Linked DNA regions of Stegostoma tigrinum. The protein of the gene in region 1 purifies or fractionates together with the protein of each later gene. This does not show direct contact. Links are inferred from orthologs where the notes say so. Each region holds a gene or a part of one and is shown in the gene's direction. Other genes may lie near its edges.

What was found. Proteins that work in one complex are often made in the same cells at the same time.
Region 2: the proteins of DNA-directed RNA polymerases I, II, and III subunit RPABC1 (region 1) and polr3e purify together in Homo sapiens (affinity purification with mass spectrometry; 5 studies listed by BioGRID and IntAct, counting the BioPlex papers as one, with this or other methods). This does not show direct contact. The link is inferred for Stegostoma tigrinum from reciprocal best matches to the Homo sapiens genes POLR2E and POLR3E.

The regions. Positions count from the first base shown.
Region 1 is NC_081383.1:17,538,454-17,548,448, forward strand, and holds the start of DNA-directed RNA polymerases I, II, and III subunit RPABC1, read left to right. Parts: upstream 1-6,099; 5' UTR 6,100-6,162; coding exon 6,163-6,219; intron 6,220-9,995. UniProt on the Homo sapiens protein: DNA-dependent RNA polymerase catalyzes the transcription of DNA into RNA using the four ribonucleoside triphosphates as substrates.
Region 2 is NC_081376.1:34,158,273-34,169,203, forward strand, and holds the start of polr3e (DNA-directed RNA polymerase III subunit RPC5), read left to right. Parts: upstream 1-6,175; 5' UTR 6,176-6,286; intron 6,287-6,426; 5' UTR 6,427-6,524; exon of another isoform or gene 6,525-6,529; intron 6,530-9,432; 5' UTR 9,433-9,580; intron 9,581-10,931. UniProt on the Homo sapiens protein: DNA-dependent RNA polymerase catalyzes the transcription of DNA into RNA using the four ribonucleoside triphosphates as substrates.

The DNA.
Region 1 (9,995 bases):
TTTGGACAAGTCAAAAGGCGGCTGTTTGATAAAAACACAAGTTTCTACCACAGTGCCTGTCGAGTCAGTGAATACTTCTACATTCTTGTTGCTTGTAGTTAGTCCTGCCAGATCTACTGTCATTATAGACAACATTCTAATTAACCTGTTCATTGATATTATTACACACCACTGCAGCAGGTAGGATTTGAATCCAGGCCTCCTATCCCAGAGGTAAGGTCACTATCAATGTGCCACAGAAGTCACTACTACTTTCAAGGGATGCTCTGCTTGACCATCTGGCACCATCTTCATATTCCACTATAGCTTGTCTGTCACCACTCTGTAACATTCATCATTGAAGTATGCCTGAATTGGAACTCTCCTTCTGTCCCTTCCACATTGCTTTCTAGAACAGCTTTTCAGCTCTGATCAGGTGGTAACAATAATAACCTTTTTCCTCTATGTTCTTACAATTTCATCCAAATTTCAAAACCACCTAATTTCTTCCATAGATCTTCATTTATTGTCCAGGTTTCTGAGGCATGCAGGCAAGTTGACAGAAGGGACTTTTTCACTGGAGCTTAGGAAGTTAAGTGGAGGCCTTATAGAAGTTTATAAAATAATGAGGAGTTTGATAGAGTAAATGGTAGTTGTTTCCTTAGAATTGAGGATTTTAAGACAGCACATTTTTAAGGTGAGAGGAGAGAGATTTAAAAAAAGACACAAGGGGCAAATTGTTAACACAGAGAATGGTTTGTGTGTGGAATGAACTTCCTGAGGAAGTGGTGGATGTGGATGCAATTACAACATTTAAAAGACAATTGGATAAGTACATGAATAGTAATGGTTTGGAGGGATATGGGCCAGGAACAGGCAGTTGGGACTAGATTAAGTTTGGGATTATGTTTGGACTGGTTGGACCAAGGGTCTGTTTCCATGCTGTATGAGATTTTTCCTCTGTTAACAAGAAAATTCAATTGTACTACATCCTTCATCTTCACAAAATTACTCCCATCTCTATCCTTTGTCTAACTTCTGTATCACATTTGTCATGTCCTGTTATCATCTGTCTAAAATAAACAAATGTATCCTCTTGTTCCATTGTGACATCATTCACTTCAAACTACACTTCAGTTTTTTTCTAATCTTTCTAACAACTACAGTTTTATTCTTATTTTATTAATTTATACTCAAATCTCTATTCTAAACTAGATTTTGCATTATCCATGGTAGGGTCTCTTCTGATTCTGCCAGTAATACTGTGTGGTTACAGTAGCATAATTCTGTTGTGCTCTTGCCTCCAAAGTTTGAGTCCATTCTCTTACTATCAATTCGATTTCCAAATCTGTACAACTCTGTGTACAATTTGAATAATCTTTGCTCTACTTCAACTAAATACATTTGAACACACCTCTTACTGGTGGACACGGTATGCTAAAGAAATCCTTATATTTGAACACTAATTGGAACCATTTTTGAAAAAGGGTCCTTCAATTGACTTTAAAACACTTAAGGACAAATTCAAGTCAACTAACACCTGTGCTAGGTTGAAATCTAAAGTGTCTACAAAATCGGCCCAATGTTGATGGTGATGTCACCAGATGAATCATCCAGAAGTCTGTATGAATGCTCCAGGGATTTCAGTTCAAATCTCACCAAGGTAGCTAATGGAATTAAATTTAATTAATAAAATCTGGAATGGAAAGCTAATTAAAGTAATGATAACCATTAAATTATTTTTCTAAAAACACATCTGGTTAACTAATAACAAGGTGTGGAGCTGGATGAACATAGCAGGCCAAGCAGCATCAGAGGAGCAGGGAAGCTGACATTTCAGGTCTAGTCCCTTTTTCAGAAATGGGGGAGGGGAAGGAGATTCTGAGATAAATAGGAAGAGAGGGGGTGACGGATAGAAGGTGGATAAAGGAGAAGATAGGTGCAGAGGAGACAGACAGGTCAGAGAGGCGGAGGCGGAAGCAGTGGGGAGTTAGGGGTGGGATAGGTCAAGGGGGTGGGATGAGACTGGTAGGTAGGAGATAGGGGTAGGGCTTGAGGTGGGAGGAGGGGATAGGTGGGAGGAAGCACAGGTTAGGGATGCGGGGACAAGCTGGGCTGGTTTTAGGATGCGGTCCAGGGAGGGGAGATTTTGAAGCTTGTGAAGTCCACATTGATACTATTGGGCTGCAGGGTTCCCAAGCAGAATATGAGTTGCTGTACCTGCAAACCTTTGGGTGGCATCATTGTGACAATGCAGGAGGCCCATGCTGGACATGTCGTCCGAGGAGTGGGAAGGCGAGTTGAAATGGTTCGTGACTGGGCAATGCAGTTGTTTGTTGCGAACCGAGCGTAAGTGTTCCGTAAAGTGGTCCTGAAGCCTCTGCTTCCTTTCCCTGATGTAGAGGAGGCCACATCGGGAACAGCGGATACAGTATACCGCACTAGCAGATGTGCAGGTGAACATCTGTTTGATGTGGAAGGTCTTCTTGGGGCCTGGGATGGGGGAGGTGTAGACATAGGTGTAGCACTTCCTATGGTTGCAGGGAAAACCGCCGGGGGTGGTTGGGCTGGAGGGGAGTGTGAAGCAGACGAGGGAGTCACAGAAAGAGTGGTCCCTCTGGAAGGCAGATAAGGGTAGGGAGGGAAAAATGTCTTTGGTAGTGGGGTCAGATTGCAGACGGCGGAAGTGTCGGAGGATGATGCGTTGGATCCGGAATTTGGTGGGGTGGTACGTGATGACGAGGGCGATCCTGTTTTGGTTGTTATTGTGGGGAGGGGGCTGTGAGGGATGAGTTGCAGGAAATGCGGGAGATGTGGTCGAGGGCGTTTTTGACCACTGTGGGGGTGGGGGGGGGAACGTTGCGGTCCTTGAAAAATGAATGTCTCATCCCAGGAGCAGATGTGGTGGAGGCGAAGGAATTGGGAAACGGGGATGGCATTTTTGCAGGAAGGTGCATGGGAGGAGGTGCTCCCACGAGGAGCTCGGACAGTACATCCACTTCACTACGACTTTCCACCCCAACCTTAAATTCACTTGAACCATCTCTGACACCTCTCTCTCCATCCTGGACCTTACTGTTTCCACCACCTGGAAACCAATATCCATTTCAAGCCTACTGACTCCCACAGCTACCTAGAATACACCTCCTCTCACCCACCTTCCTGCAAAAAAGGACCACCTCCCTGAACTGACCTATCTGCTCCCTGCGCCAACTCCGCACTTGCAGTCCCTTCACTGGCTCCACCCCCACCTCTTTGACCTGTCTGTCTTCTCTCCACCTATCTTCTCCTTTATCCATCTTCCATCCGCCTCCCCCCTCTCCCTATTTATTTCAGAATCCCCTTCCCCTCCCCCATTTCTGAAGAAGAATCTAGATCCAAAACGTCAGTTTTCCTGCTCCTCTGATGCTGCTTGGCATGTTGTGTTCATCCAGCTCTACTCGTTATCTCAGATTTTCCAGCATCTGCAGTTCCTACTATCTCTGGTTAACTAATGTTCTTTAGTGAACAAAATCTGCCATCCTTATGTGGTCTGCCCTATATGCAACTCTAGAAAACTTAAGAAAACACGCAAATATGTTGGTGGCAACTCAGAGAAGGGTTATGGATTGATACCTGAAATGACTGGGTTATCTTCGGTGGAAATGTCGTGCAATACTCGGCTTGTTTTGAAGAGTGAAGAATGATTGATTAATCATTGATGTATATGTAATTGATGTACAATATTCAAAACAGTCCTGACAAAATGAATGTAGAAAAGATACTTCGTCTTGTGGATGAACCCAGAACTAGGGACACTGTTATAAATTAGGAGCCATCCTTTTAAAACAGAGATGAGGTAAATTATTTTCTTTGAGAGATGTGTGACTTTGGAACTTGGCCTCAAAGGCTGTGGAGGCAGATCATTGAATATTTTTAAGCAGAGATGAACAAGATCCAGAATGTTATCATAATAGATCGGAATGTGGAATTTGACATGCATACAGATCATCTGATCTTACTAAATGTCAGCTGGCTCGAGGGTACAAACGGCTTCCTTCTGCTCTTAATTCATATACAATATATACATGTATGTTTATACACTTGTTATTGCGTCCAGGACAAAACACAACACGTCTTATGAAAAGTTGCTGAAACCTGCTTATTTAAGCTAAACAATGTGATCACATACTTAGGTACAAGAAATGTGAATGTTCCTGTCAGTATGCACATCATCAACACCTTTTATTCTTCCATCCTTTGAAGATCCTAAATAAAGTTGGTAAAGAGTTATATATGCATCATCATACTGATTAGTTCAGTGTGTTCTAAAGTTTGGAGATTTTCTCTGCAAGAAGATGAAATGAGTGGCTACTCTGTATGTTCTTTTGGTCTCGGCAGCAGTAAAGGAGATAAGTGAATGCCCTAAAACGATAATGTGTCTATGAATACTATGGTAATAACTACATTTACACATCTCTACTTTCTGTATTTCTTCTTTATTCCTTGTTGTCCCATTATCAAGTCATTAGTGGTTTATGTCACAAATTGATAGAATATTTAACATACTAGAATTAAGCTAAATATGCTATTCATTCACGTAAACATTTGCAGTATTGTAATCTTCACATATCACATAGGAATGCCTCCCATATCTGATGTCTTTGTTGATTTGTTAATTGAGTTGGCTCTTTGTTTCACACAGGACAGCCTGGCATAAAATCCATGTCCACTTGTTCAGCCCTTTTAGTGAACCTGCCTTTCTGTCAGTATCCTCAATTTGTTGCTGAAATCAAAAGCTGGATTTGAGTTGTTTCATCAGGTAAATGTTTGTTTATCATTTGCTTATCATTGAGGGCACATTCCCATTAGTTAATAAAGTGTGAAGCTGGATGAACACAGCAGGCCAAGCAGCATCTCAGGAGCACAAAAGCTGACATTTCGGGCCTAGACCCTTCATCAGAGAGGGGGATGGGGTGAGGGTTCTGGAATAAACAGGGAGAGAGGGGAAGGCGGAGCGAAGATGGAGAGAAAAGAAGATAGGTGGAGAGAAGAGTATAGGTGGGGAGGGGATATGTCAGTCCAGGGAAGACGGACAGGTCAAGGAGGTGGGATGAGGTTAGTAGGTAGGAAATGGAGGTGCACCTTGGGGTGGGTGGAAGGAAGAACAGGTTAGGGAGGCAGAGACAGGCTGGGCTGGTCTCTGCCTCCCTAAACTGTTTTTCCTCTCACCCATCCCTTCCTTTATCTTTAAAGTTGAGCACACAATAGCATAAAGGAGGTGCAAATAAAACGTGATGTCTGAAATCATTGAGTGAAGAACCATGAATCAAAAACCACTACATATTGTACTGAAAAACAAACCACATGGAGTGGGATTACCAGATTCTTCATGTGAGAGTTTACAGGACTTTATTTTTCCAAGGGTAGGAAACAGATTTCAGGGCAGTTTCGATATTATCTCTGGTATCGCTCTATGGGATTTTCACATGGGAGCTCTTGTAGTATAGACAGCAGAAAGCTTCTCCCATCTTCAGATGAGCAGTGAATTTAGGAATAAGAGCAAGGGTGTTTCATGGCCCAAAGAGCTCCCTTCAACTTTATAAGTTAACTATAGTGCCAGCAGGTGCTGGAGGAGGCTGCTTAGGCTACCTAGGATTATATGGACTGGTGCAGTAAATTCAATAGCTGAATTCAGAACTTTTGTTGTATTTCCTATTGATGCCAAACAGGAGACTGATGGATGTTAGATCATCGAGTCATAGAGGTCTATTGAACAGAAAACAGCCTTTTCAGCTCATTGAGGGGTCAAAAATAACCACCTAACTATTCTAACCACATTTTCCAATACTTGGCCGATTGCCTTACAGACCTTGATATCATGTGCACTTTTGAATACTTCTTAAATGTTATGAGGGTTTCTGCCTAACTAGATCAAAACTAGACTAAATATTATGTCCAAGAAATGTCATACACAAAACGCTATAGCAAGGAACTAAAAGGTAACAATACAGAAACAAGGCTAGCAATTCGCTTTAAGGCACCATTTTGACCAAACTTGCCAAAACCCGCGCTGAAGGGCTCCGATAGGGCATGCGCATTGGCGCAGCACGTTCGGCGTCGCCGCCACTGCGCCTGCGCGGGCGGCCGGCTTGCGTGTGTGGAAACTGTCATAAAGCAGCGTCCGGGCCTCGGGCGGTAGCAATGGACGATGAAGAGGAGACCTACCGGCTGTGGAAGATCCGCAAAACTATTATGCAGGTGGGCCTTGAGCAGATTTATCTCATGTCCCCTCCAATCCACCAAGCTCCTATTCTCTCCATCCCCCCTCACACCCGCGCCTCCTTATTTGCTTCCTCCCGTCACCATCCCCTTATCCCCACGCCATCTTCACTCCCTCCCCCAAGTGAGGACAAGAATGTGGTATCAAGAAGCCTTTGCAAAACTGGGCTTTATTCGGAGTGGAGAGAAAGCTGTGATGGCTGAAGTCGTGCCTGGCTTCTAGCAAGATGGTTGTGGTTGTTAGTCATTGTAGCTTCACGACGAGCACTATAGCAGTTCATCAGGTGTGTTTGCGAATTGACCCGTTCAGAAATGTTACGCACACCCAGAGCAAGTAAGGACTTGAACCTGGCTGTCCTAGCTCTGAGGTAGGGGCATTACTACTGCTGCAAATTCCTCTTGTTTGTTCGTCAGGAAAGATATATTTAATCACCTGTCCATTTCCCATCTCTAGAGCTGGTCGAACCCAGGCTTTCTGGCTCAGTAGTAGAAACACAACCACTTTGCACTAAAAGAATCAGCAGTTTATCAGAGGAGTGACCTGTGTTCAGCCATCTTCAGCTGCTTCCATTCATCAATGAACCTGAGAGTGTTGTTCCCAATTTTGACTTGAAACAGGCATAAGCCATGCCCATGAGATAATGGGAACTGCAGATGCTGGAGAATCTGAGATAACAAAGTGAGGAACTGCATGAGCACAGCCGGCCAAGCAGCATCTTAGGAGCGCAAACAAATATCCATTTTAAGCCCACTAACTCCCACAGCTACCTGGAATACACCTCCTCCCACTCACCTTCCTGCATAAATTCCATCCCCTATTCCCAATTCCTTTGCTTCTGTCGCATCTGCTCCCAGGATGAGGCATCCACTCCTGTACATCTCAGATGTCCTCGTTTTTCAAGACCACAAACCCCCATGGCCACAATGGTCGAGAACACCCTCGACCGTGTTTCCTGCATTTCCGGCAACTCATTCCTTGCAACCCGTCCCCACAATAACTGCTAAAAGAGAATTCCCCCCTCATCCTCACATACCACCCCACCAACCTCCGGATCCAACGCATCATCTTCTGACACTTCTGCAATCTGACCCCACCACCAAAGACATTTTTCCATCCCCACCCTTGTCTGCTTTCCAGAAGGACCACTCTCTCCATGACTCCCTTGTCTGCTCCACACTCCCCTCCAATCCCACCACACCCAGCACTTTCCCCTGCAACAGCAGGAAGTGCTACATCTGCCAATGTGGTATACTGCATCTGCTGTACCCATTGTGGCCTCCTACATTGGGGAAACCAAGCGGAGGCTTGGGGACCGCTTTGCAGAACACGTATGCTCGGTTCGCAGTAAACAACTATAGCAGTTCATCAGGTGTGTTTGCGAATTGACCCGTTCAGAAACGTTACACACACCCAGAGCAAGTAAGGACTTGAACCTGGCTGTCCTAGCTCAGAGGTAGGGACATTACTACTGCTGCAAATTCCTCTTGTTTGTTCATTCATCCATTTCAACTCCCCCTCCCATTCCTCAGACGACATGTCCACCCTGGGCCTCCTGCAGTGCCACCTGAAGGTTGCAGGAATAGCAGCTCATATTCTGCTTGGGAACCCTGCAGCCCAATGTTTTCAATGTGGATTTCAAAAGCTTCAAAATCCAGCTTTCCCCCCCCATCCCAAAACCAGCCCAGCTCATCCCCGCCTCTCTAACATGTTCTTCCTCTCACCTATCCCCTCCTCCCACCGCAAGCCGCACCTCCATTTCCTGCCTACTAACCTCATCATCTCCCCCACCCCCCCCAACCTGTCTGTCCTCCCTGGATTGACCTATCCCCTCCCTCCCCACCTACACTCACCTCTACTGGCTCCATCCCTGCCTCTTTAACTTATCTGTCTCCTCTCCACCTATCTTCTCCTCTATCCATCTTGGATCAGCCTCCCCCCTCCCCCTTTTCTGATGAAGGGTCTAGGCCTGAAATGCCAGCTTTTGTGCTTCTAAGATGCTGCTTGGCCTGCTGTGTTCATCCAACTCCGCACTTTGTTATCATAGACTAGGTCCATGTTCTTTGTACCTGTATAAAATATGTAGCTTGAATTGAATTGTCTTTATTGTTGTGTACTTGAATGAGTACAGTGAAAAGTTTATGGTTACTGCATTACAATGCCATTTTAGGTACAAAGGTAATAAAGTATGGGGCTGGATGAACACAGCAGGCCAGGCAGCATCTTAGGAGCACAAAAGCTGATGTTATGGGCCTAGACCCTTCATCAGAAAAGGTACAAAGATACCAGCTACTTTAAAATCAAATCTTAGGAAACAAAAAAAATCATGTTAGGAAAGTAAAGAAATGAATAGTCCAGCATTTTTGGTCATTGGAATAAATTAGGAAAATAAGTAAAAAGCTCACGATCAGTCGTTCTGGCCCAGTCCATGCTGGCACCAAGCCTCCAGGGAGACCTCCACTGCCTTGTTGCCACTTGTGCTAGATTCACCAACATATGAGTTGCTCCACTTCAGGAGCCATTTCTTCCCCGCTGGGCCCTCTTCTCTGATGCTGTTGTGAACCCACACTTTCCCCCACAACCAGGAGACCCTAGCTTTGCTGCCAGGCCACAAGCCCCACTTTAGCTACAGACATTGGCTTTCTGGTGCTGCAGTCCAGTACATGTACATGTGCTGTGCTGAACCTGAATGGTCTTAACTTGGTTGCCAGTCTAGTTTCTCTCTTTTAGGATTATCCACCAAATTTGTCAACTTAAGAATTGCATCTAACATTACCCTATTGAGTTTTGCATGTTGGGTACAGTCAGTACCTTGTTTGTTGCAAATAGCTCAGGTGAAAAGCTATTTGAAATAATCTGTCAATCTTTGGGGTATGCCCTGGAAGCTACACATTAATACACAGGGCTCTGCTGTTTGTACACAGAAGTTATATATGAAATGTTGCTGTTTAAATTGAACACAGTCAGTTACAGCTGTGGGCTAGGTGGCAGCAAAATCAGTCAACTGCCTGCTTCAAAATTTATGTCTGGCTCGGCTGTTAACTGTGAATCAACGTTGAGGGCATCACAAACAGCATCTACATTCGCTTCTGCCCGGACGGCAATACCTTCGATCTGTGCCGCTTTCTCACTCGCACGAAGACAACACAGGAGCCCATCATGGAGCTGTTGTATGCGGACAACTGCGCCCTACTCTTGCACACAGAAGATGCGCTACAGACTGCAGTGACGCGCTTCTCCGAAGCTGCAAAGGCTTTCGGGCTAATGATCAGTCTGAAGAAGACGGAGATCCTGTACCAGAAGCCACCATGCAGCACATACAACCCACCTCGAATCTCGATCGACGGCCACCCCCTCAACATGGTGGAACGTTTCATGTACCTGGGAAGCATAACCTCTGACGATGTGACAGTCACCAGAGATGTCTACAATCGCCGTGCAAAAGCAAGTAGCGCCTTCGGGCGACTGCAGAAGCGTGTATGGGGAAACCACTAGAAAATCATGTCGACGAAAATCCAGGTTTACAAGGCCGCGGTCATCACCACACTGCTCTAGGGCTCCGAGACCTTTTGTATCGGAAACAGATGCGGCTGCTGGAACGATTCCACCAACGTTGCCTGCGCTCTATATTGGGCATCACCTGGCAGGACCGCGTCTCTAACAACAAAGTGCTGGAAAAGGCCTGGCTCCCCAGCATCGAAGCAACCCTTCTCCTGAAGCTACTTCACTGGTTGTGTCACGTATCATGGATGGACAA
Region 2 (10,931 bases), on another chromosome or scaffold:
TCTGACGAAGGGGCAGTGTTTAGAAAGCTAGTGATTTCAAATAAACCTGTTGGATTATAACTTGGTGTCACATGACTTCTGACTGACCGCCCCCATCCACCATCGGCACCTCTGCATCATGTTAATATTAAATATATTTAGTTACACAGCAACTGTATTTCGAGTTTGATATGTGGCTTTGGGTTCCAATGAAGTCTTTTTCTTACTTCAGCCATAATCTTAGAGAAGTGTTAAACCACTCTATCACTTATGTCTCCTCAGTGTAACTGGGTCAAAATCCTGGCACTCTCTTCCTATCAACACTGCTAGTCTACCTACAGTAAATGCAATCGAAGATGGGCAGTAAATGCTGAGCTCATTAGCTGTAGCCACTTGCTGTGAAATAAGATAAACAAAAGTTCTTCAATCATATTCCCAGATGCCTCTCCCGCACCCCACTGCAACTGTTTATCCAGATTTAGAATTTCTTCATGATTTGTGTTGTTCTGACAAGGAGTGAGTGGAATCAAAATGTTAATTCTGTTTCTCTGTCACAGGTGCTGCCAGCCCCCCTAAATTTCTCCAGCGATTTCTGTTTTTATCTCAGACCTTCAGTATACACACATTGATGTTTTATTACAGCAATGTTGTCTGTATTGACATACGCAAAACAGCTGGGGGGGGGAGGGGGAATTGTGTCTTCTCCTTGTAGATATAGTGCTGTATCTCCAGGATAGATTGGGGGTGCACGCACTCCGCCCACGGCTGACGACCTCATCGCTCCGCCCACAGCCTCCACCGCCAGCAACCCCAGAGCAGACAGCCACACTGAGCCCTGCCGAATCTTCACCATCCCTCCAGACCTCCCACTGACTGAGGACAAATGGTCAGTCCTAAGCAAGGGGCTCACCTTCGTCCCCCTCCACCCACACATCAACAAATATCAGTCACGTTTGGACATCGAGCAGTTTTTCTGCCGCCGTCACCTCCATGCTTACTTCTTTAACCGGGAGCCTTATCCTCCCTCCACTGACCCCTTGACTCGCCTCCAACACAAGTCCTCTTCCTGGACACCACCCCCAGGCCTCCTACCCTCCCTTGACCTCTTCATCTCCAACAGCCGTCGAGACATTAACCACCTCAGCCTCTCCACCCCTCTCACCCACTCCAACCTCTCCCCCGCAGAACGGACAGCCTCCACTCCAACCCCAACCTCAACATCAAACCCACAGACAAGGGTGGCGTAGTGGTAGTATGGCGCACTGACCTCTACATCGCTGAGGCCAAACGCCAAATCTCCGACACCTCTTCATATTGCCCCCTTGACCATGACCCCACCCCCGAGCATCAAACCATCATCTCCAACACCATCCATGACCTCATCACCTCAGGGGACCTCCCATCCACAGCCTCCAACCTTATTGTTCCCCAACCCCGCACGGCCCATTTCTATCTCCTTCCCAAAATCCACAAACCTGCCTGCCCTGATCGACCCATTGTCTCAGCCTGTTCCTGCCGCAACGAACTCATCTCCACCTATCTGGACTCCATTTTCTACCCTTTGATCCAGGATCTCCCGAATTACGTCTGTAACACCACCCACGCCCTCCACCTCCTCCAGAATTACCAATTCCCTGGCCCCCAACACTTCATTTTCACCATGGACGTCCAGTCCCTATACACCTGTATTCCTAATGCAGATGGCCTCAAGGCCCTCCGCTTCTTCCTGTCCCACAGGCCCGACCAGTCCCCCTCCACCGACACCCTCATCCGCCTAGCTGAACACGTCCTCACCCTCAAGAACTTCCCTTTCGATTCCTCCCACTTCCTACAGACAAGGGGGGTGGCCATGGGTACCCGCGTGGCCAAGCTATGCCTGCCTCTTTGTAGGTTACGTGGAACAGTCCCTCTTCCGCACCTACACAGGCCCCAAATCTCACCTCTTCCTCCGTTACATTGATGACTGTATCGGCGCCGTCTCTTGGTCCCCAGAGGAACTCGAACAGTTCATCCACTTCACCAACACCTTCCACCCCAACCTCAAGTTCACCTGGGCCATCTCCAACACATCCCTCACCTTCCCAGACCTCCCGGTCTCCATCTCAGGTAACCAGCTAGAAACTGATGTCCATTTCAAGCCCACTGACTAGCTAGAATACACCTCCTCCCGCCCACCCTCCCGCAAAAATTCCATTCCCTATTCCCAATTCCTCTGCATCTGCTCCCAGGATGAGGCATTCCACTCCTGCACATCCCAGATGTCCAAGTTCTTGAAGGACCGCAACTTTCCCCTTGCAGTGGTCGAGAACACATTTGACCGCGTCTCCCGCAACACATCCCTCACACCCCGCCCCCGCCACAACCACCCCAAGAGGATCCCCCTCATTCTCACACACCACCCCACCAACCTCCAAATACAACGCATCATCCTCCGACACTTCCGCCATCTACTATCCGACCCCACCACCCAAGCCATTTTTCCATCCCCACCCCTGTCTGCTTTCTGGAGAGAGTACTCGCTCCGTGACTCCCTTGTCCGCTCCACACTCCCCTCCAACCCCACCACACCCGGCACCTTACCCTGCAACCACAGGAAATGCTACACTTGCCCCCACATCTCCTCCCTCACCCCCATCCCAGGCCCCAAGATGACTTTCCACCTCAAGCGGATGTTCACCTGCACATCTGCCAATGTGGTATACTGTATCCACGGTACCCCGTGCAGCTTCCTCTATATTGGGGAAACCAAGCAGAGGCAGAACGCCTCCGCTCGGTTCGCAATAAACAACTGCACCTCCCAGTCGCAAACCATTTCCACTCCCCCTCCCATTCTCTAGATGACATGTCCATCATGGGCCTCCTGCACTGCCACAATGATGCCACCCGAAGGTTGCAGGAACAGCAACTCATATTCCGCCTGGGAACCCTGCAGCCTAATGGTATCAATGTGGACTTCACAAGCTTCAAAATCTCCCCTTCCCCCACTGCATCCCTAAACCAGCCCAGTTCGTCCCCTCCCCCCACCGCATCCCAAAACCAGCCCAGCTCTTCCCCTTCCCCCACTGCATCCCAAAACCAGTCCAACCTGTCTCTGCCTCCCTAACCGGTTCTTCCTCTCACCCATCCCTTCCTCCCACCCCAAGCTGCACCCCCATCTTCTACCTACTAACCTCCTCCCACCTCCTTGACCAGTCCGTCTTCCCTGGACTGACCTATCCCCTCCCTACCTCCCCACCTATACTCTCTCCACCTATCTTCTTTACTCTCCATCTTCGGTCCGCCTCCCCCTCTCTCCCTATTTATTCCAGTTCCCTCCCCCCATCCCCCTCTCTGATGAAGGGTCTAGGCCCGAAACGTCAGCTTTTGTGCTCCTGAGATGCTGCTGGGCCTGCTGTGTTCGTCCAGCCTCACATTTCTTTACAATGGTGCACTGGGTCCTCCTGGCGCCCAGATGACTGCTTTACGTCTGCTCCGCGATCCCCTTTGGCCGCCCGGAGACAGTATTAGGTAGGCACTGGAGCCCCTTACGGCCGGAGGACCATATTACACGTACACATGAACTCAACACACCCCCAACCAAGATCACAAAGTGTGTAGCTGTATGAACACAGCAGGCCAAGCAGCATCTCAGGAGCACAAAAGCTGACATTTCGGGCCTAGACCCTTCATCAGAGAGGGGGATGGGGAGAGGGAACTGGAATAAATAGGGAGAGAGGGGGAGGTGGACCGAAGATGGAGAGAAAAGAAGATAGGTGGAGAGAGTGTAGGTGGGGAGGTAGGGAGGGGATAAGTCAGTCCAGGGAAGACGGACAGGTCAAGGAGGTGGGATGAGGTTAGTAGGTAGATGGGGGTGCGGCTTGGGGTGGGAGGAAGGGATGGATGAGAGGAAGAACAGGTTAGGGAGGCAGAGACTGATACCATTGTAACGAGGTCCTCCGGCTGTCGTATGGGTTGGTGCTCCTGAGTGAACTGACCTCCGGCCGCCAGGGGACCTAGCATACTCATGAAACGCGGCCTCAAGGCCCTCCGCTTCTTCCTGTCCCGCAGGCCCGACCAGGCCCCCTCCACCGGCACTCTCATCCGCCTAACTGAACTCGTCCTCACACTCAACAACTTCTCTTTTGACTCCTCCCACTTCCTACAGACTAAGGGGGTGGCCATGGGCACCCGCATGGGCCCCAGCTATGCCTGCCTCTTTGTAGGTTACGTGGAACAGTCCCTCTTCCGCACCTACACAGGCCCCAAACCCCACCTCTTCCTCCGGTACATTGATGACTGTATCGGCGCTGCCTCTTGCTCCCCAGAGGAGCTCGAACAGTTCATCCACTTCACCAACACCTTCCACCCCAACCTTCAGTTCACCTGGGCCATCTCCAGCACATCCCTCACCTTCCTGGACCTCTCAGTCTCCATCTCAGGCAACCAGCTTGTAACTGATGTCCATTTCAAGCCCACCGACTCCCACAGCTACCTAGAATACACCTCCTCCCACCCACCCTCCTGCAAAAATTCCATCCCCTATTCCCAATTCCTCCGCCTCCGCCGCATCTGCTCCCACGATAAGACATTCCACTCCCGCACATCCCAGATGTCCAAGTTCTTTAAGGACCGCAACTTTCCCCCCACGGTGATTGAGAACGCCCTTGACCGCGTCTCCCGCATTTCCCGCGACACATCCCTCACACCCCGCCCCCGCCACAACCGCCCCAAGAGGATCCCCCTCGTTCTCACACACCACCCTACCAACCTCCGGATACAACGCATTATCCTCCGACACTTCCGCCATTTACAATCCGACCCCACCACCCAAGACATTTTTCCATCCCCTCCCCTGTCTGCTTTCCGGAGAGACCACTCTCTCCGTGACTCCCTTGTTCGCTCCACACTGCCCTCCAACCCCACCACACCCGGCACCTTCCCCTGCAACCGCAGGAAATGCTACACTTGTCCCCACACCTCCTCCCTCACCCCCATCCCAGGCCCCAAGATGACATTCCACATTAAGCAGAGGTTCACCTGCACATCTGCCAATGTGGTATACTGCATCCACTGTACCCGGTGCGGCTTCCTCTACATTGGGGAAACCAAGCGGAGGCTTGGGGACCGCTTTGCAGAACACCTCCGCTCAGTTCGCAACAAACAACTGCACCTCCCAGTCGCCAACCATTTCCACTCCCCCTCCCATTCTCTTGATGACATGTCCATCATGGGCCTCCTGCTCTGCCACAATAATGCCACCCGAAGGTTGCAGGAACAGCAACTCATATTCCGCCTGGGAACCCTGCAGCCATATGGTATCAATGTGGACTTCACCAGCTTCAAAATCTCCCCTTCCCCTACTGCATCCCTAAACCAGCCCAGTGCATCCCCTCCCCCCACTGCACCACACAACCAGCCCAGCTCTTCCCCCCCACCCACTGCATCCCAAAACCAGTCCAACCTGTCTCTGCCTCCCTAACCGGTTCTTCCTCTCACCCATCCCTTCCTCCCACCCCAAGCCGCACCTCCAGCTACCTACTAACCTCATCCCACCTCCTTGACCTGTCCGTCTTCCCTGGACTGACCTATCCCCTCCCTACCTCCCCACCTGTACTCTCCTCTCCACCTATCTTCTTTACTCTCCATCTTCGGTCCGCCTCCCCCTCTCTCCCTATTTATTCCAGTTCCCTCTCCCCACTCCCCTCTCTGATGAAGGGTCTAGGCCCGAAACGTCAGCTTTTGTGCTCCTGAGATGCTGCTTGGCCTGCTGTGTTCATCCAGCCTCACATTTTATTATCATGAAACGCGGATCAGGTGGACCCAGTGTACCCATGTAATGCAGTCCTCCGGCCGTCAGGGAGACACAGTGTACCGATGTTACGCGGTCCTCCGGCCGTCAGGGGGACCCAGCGTACCAATGGAACGCGGTCCTCCGGCCGTCAGGGGGACCCAGCGTACCCATGGAACGCGATCCTCCGGCCGTCAGGGGGACCCAGCGTACCAATGGAACGCGGTCCTCCGGCCGTCAGGGGGACCCAGCGAACCCATGGAACGCGGTCCTCCGGCCGTCAGGGGGACCCAGCGTACCCATGGAACGCGGTCCTCCGGCCGTCAGGGGGACCCAGCGTACCCATGGAACGCGGTCCTCCGGCCGTCAGGGGGACCCAGCGTACCCATGGAACGCGGTCCTCCGGCCGTCAGGGGGACCCAGCGTACCCATGGAACGCGGTCTGAGGATATGAGTGACCCACGTGTCGGCTCCATGGTTGCTGGTAGTTTCATCCATTTCGCCGGCACCGCCTGAGGGAACGGGCGGCTGGGGACAGTGGTGAGTACTCGGGTTAGGATTGTGGGTTTGGCCGGGCCCCAGTTGGCATTAAGTCAGCGGCCTCGGCCTGAAGTTTAGGCGGTTCCCCTGTGATGAATCGGCTTCTGACCTGCCTCTGTTTCTCCCTGTCTCCTGTACAGGCCGGCTCCTGGGACCTCCATCCCCCAATGAGGCCGCTCCATCCCCGTGGTGTTAGTGGTCGGCGAGGTCAGGAGTGCCGCCCGGGTACCTGCATCAGGTGAGGTAACTGCTGGCCTGTCAGGATGGGAGGGAGCGGCTTCCGGCACCTCTGGCTTTAGCTGCAGTAGCTTCTTCCCCTTTCATTGCATCAGGTAGGGCTGGGTGTAGAGTGGGACTGTGCAGCCTGTGAGGAAAGTCGCAACCTCAGCGAGATGAGGATAGAAACCTCACAGTGCTCCAAAGCCGATGAGTTAAATAAGTGTGGTCACCATGGTAATGTAGGAAACTCACTAGTTAGCAAGCGCACAGCAAGATCCCATAGCCAACCGTAATACGGTAATTGCCCGATGTTCTGTTCTATTGATTTTGATTGAAAGGTAAATGTTGTCCAAGATACCAGGGACGACGCCTTCCATTCTTTTCCTCAAATAGATCTTTTGAAAGGTAGTCCCTCAGTCTCCTCCAACAGTGCAGTACCACCTCAATATTGAACCTCCTGTAATGCAGTGTTCCTCCAGTACTGTTCTTTGGCATTTGCAGCACTCGGGTTGTCATTTACCTTTTTTTTACTCAGGCCTCTGGAGTGAGTTCCTGACTCAGGCAAGACTGCAGCCCCAAACTCTAAAGTAATGTACAGTGTGCCAGTAGCTCCCTGATCGGTTGTTAACTAAATGAGGATGAGAAAACTTTCCTTTTCTGCGATCTTCAATTACATTGTCATTTGCTGTCCTGTTTTCACATGGGTCATTCATTGCAATTTACAATCATTGTACTTTTTGCATAATGTTTATCAATTGTAAACATACCATAACTCTTTGAGCAGTTTATGTAAGTGCATCTATTACAATACTCTTGGTCTTGTTGAGCTACTAAATAATATTTACAGAGCCTCAGGTAAGGAAAACATCAACATTATTTAATAATCATCTTGCTATGGCTTCATCTTGGTCCTGAGGCTGCAGTGGAGACTAAGACCATGTGACATTGCATCACTTTTATTAGCATATCACATTCAGACATAATTTATCATTCTATACTCCACCCAGTTTCTGATTTGACTGATCATGTTCCTATTCGCTCCCCAAGTGTCTGACTTCGCTGCTTTGGTTGGTAAATGAAATCTGCCATTTGTACCTCATAGTGTCATAGAAATGTTTAGCAAGGAAACTCATCCGTGCTGACAAGATATCTTAAATTAATCTAACCCTGTTTGTCAGCTTTTGGCCCATATCCCCCTCAAACCCTTCCTATTCATATACCCATCCAGATGCCTTTTAAATGTTGTAATTGTACCAGCCTTTTCCACTTTCTCTGGCGGTTCATTCCATCCACACACCACCCTCAGCATGAAAATGCTGCTCCTTGGGTCCCTTTTTAATTCTCTCCGCTCTCACCTTAAACCTGTGCCCTCTAGTTTTGGACTCCACCACCCCAGGGAAAAGACCTTGTTTATTTACCTCATGCGTGCCCCTCATGATTTTATAAACCTCTGAGATCACCTCCCAGCCTCTCATCATCTAGTGAAAATAGTCCCAATCCATTCAGCCTCTCTTTATAGCTCAATTCATCCAAACTGACAGCATCCTTGTAAATCTTATCTGAATTCTTTCAAGCTTCACAATATCCTTCTCATAGCAGGGAGACCAGAATCACATGGAGTATTCCAAAAGTGGCCGAACCTATGTCCTGTACAGCCACAACATGACCTCCAACTCCTATACACAATGCACTGTCCAATAAGGGCAAGCTTACCAAACACTCCTTTCACTATCCTATCTACATTCAAATCTATTTCCAAGGACTATGAACCTGCACTGTGAAGAAAAGCAGTGGAACCAGCAGCGATACTTCTTGCACACCACTGGTCACAGGCCTCCAGTCTGAAAAGCAACCCTCCACCTTCATCGTCTGTCTTCTACTTTCTAGCCAATTCTGTATCCAAATGACTAGTTCTCCCTGTATTCCATGTGATCTAACCTTGCTATCACATGAGGAACCTTGTCAAATGCCTTTCCTAAATCCATATGGATCACATCCACCACTGCCGTCATCAGTCCTCTTCGTTACTACTTCAAAAAACTCAATTAAGTCATTGAGACACAATTTCTCTCTCACAAAGCCATGTTGACAATCGCTAATCAGTCCTTATTTTTCGAAATACATGTAAATCCTGTCCCTCGGAATTCCCTCCAACATCCAATGTCAGGCTCACCAGTCTGCAGTTCCCTGCTTTTTCCTTTACCACCTTTCTTAAATAGTGGCACCACATTAACCAACCGCCAGTCTTCCGGCACCTCCCCTGTGGCTATCGATGGTACACATATCTGAGCAAGGGGCCCAGCAATCACTTCCCTCGCCCTTCACAGAGTTCTAGTGTACACCTGATCAGGTCCCGGGGATTTAATCTACCTTTTACCTGGTCTGGTCTGAGGGTGGCACGGTGGCTCGGTGGTTAGCACTGCAGCCTTACTGTGCCAGTGACCCAGGTTCAGCTCCAGCCTTTGGCAACTGTCTGGCCTTTGCACATTCTTCCTGTGGCTGCAGCTGTCACCTTCCTGTGGGATGTGCCACTTTCTTCCTGCAGTCCAAAGATGTGCAGATTAGGTGGATGGGCATGCTAAATTCCCCTTAGTGTGCATAGATGTGTAGATTAGGTGGATTAACCATGAGAGATGTCGGGTTACGGGACTAGGGTAGAGGGGTGGGATGCTGTTCGGAGGCTTGGTGTGGGTTTTTTGGGCTGAATGGCCTGCTACTGCATTATAGGGATTCTGCTATGCTATGACTGTGACTCCATCCCTCAGCACCGTGGTTGACTCTTAATTGACTGCTGAAATGGCCTAGCAAACCATTCGGCTCAAGGGCAATTTAGGATAGACCTGCTAAGTTTTGATATCCCCTCGTTGCCTGATTGGAATGTAAACTGTTTGCTTTCATAATTAAAACTGCCTTTTTGTTGCCAGTAGGTTGAAGCTTTAATGGGGAATGACAAAATTTCGCTTTCTTTTCTGCAATGTCTGGACAGAACTGTTTTGGACCTCTTGTACTTTTGCAAGGAAGAAAATTTAGGATAAACAACACATACTGAATTTGCCACCTAGGTTGCCAGAAGAGGTAAACAGAATTTGTATTTTCAGGCACTATTGCTGTGAGGATATATTAGTTTACCTGAATGTGTCTGCAGCCTCTTTTGAAGAGATTGGGAATTGAGATTTCTTGAAGCCATTGTGCTGGGCAGAAGGAGAATTGCTGATTCTGGTTTGGTAATCAGGCTGCATCTGGACTTTACAATGAACACCAAATCTCTGGTCTGTTTGGTTGTGTTAATGACTACTACAACTTTGCTGAAAATTGCTTCTTTGTGGAAACTAGTGCATGACTGTTTGGTTGGACTGTGCCGTTCTTGTTTTGAATAAGATAGGACCGTGGCTGAGATAACAAGGTGTAGAGCTGGGTGAACACAGCAGGCCAAGCAGCATCAGACGAGCAGGAAGGCTGATGTTTCAAGCCTAGATCCTTCTTCAGAAAACCATAGCTGAGATGTCTGTTTCAATTGTACATAACAAGCTTGGTCCAAAGCCAAATTATCTCTGCTGGTTGAAGGCCTATAAAGTTGTGTGCTTTGTGACACTTACCAGAGTCCCACATCTGACTGGAACAATACTTGTCCTATTACTCCTTCACTTTCAAGTCATCATCTTTGTGCATGCAGCACGAATATATGCGGCAGTGGAGGGGGCTGATTTCCTGGCTGTCTTCATGTGAGAAGTTCATGCGGAGTTAAACTGTTTCGGAGTGAAGATAAGCAAGGGCTCGGCAATGTATGTTTAAGGTCACTTCTTGATTTCACTGTTTCACTACATACTGCTCATTCAGTTTCAGTGTTAGCTTAAGGATATCTTGGTGAGCTTGGAGTTTGACATCCATATGATGTTATGAACTCTTTAAAATACTCTTTCCATACCGTCTGAGAATACAAGGTCTGCAATTCCATGTGTTGCAAAGATCTTGTTCAATGACGTAATCACTGGATCAAACATGTGACCCTCCAGTTGCTTGACTTCTATCCATCTACTGCCAAGAATATTTTATCTTGTGTTTGAGGTTCATCCCGAAACATTCCAATGATCTGATTCGAACTGAAAATGACACCAACAGTTCTCTTGTCCCCCGATGATGAATATCACAAGCAATATAGCCCAATATGGAAACCCAGCTATCAAACAGAATATTTTACTCTGGGATGGCATTATGATAAGCAGATGCTTTTGATGCAGTTGTTGTAGTGTATTGAGACTTAAGAGTATAGGAATAACCAATCTCTTAGAGTAGATGGGTAAATCATCCACTACACCGAAGTGTACTTTCTGTTCATGGTGCTGTCTGAGAATGGGATTGTGCCACAGTATGTGTTGCCATCCTTTGACACTGAGTTCATTGTTTGTCAGATTTCGGTGCGACTCTG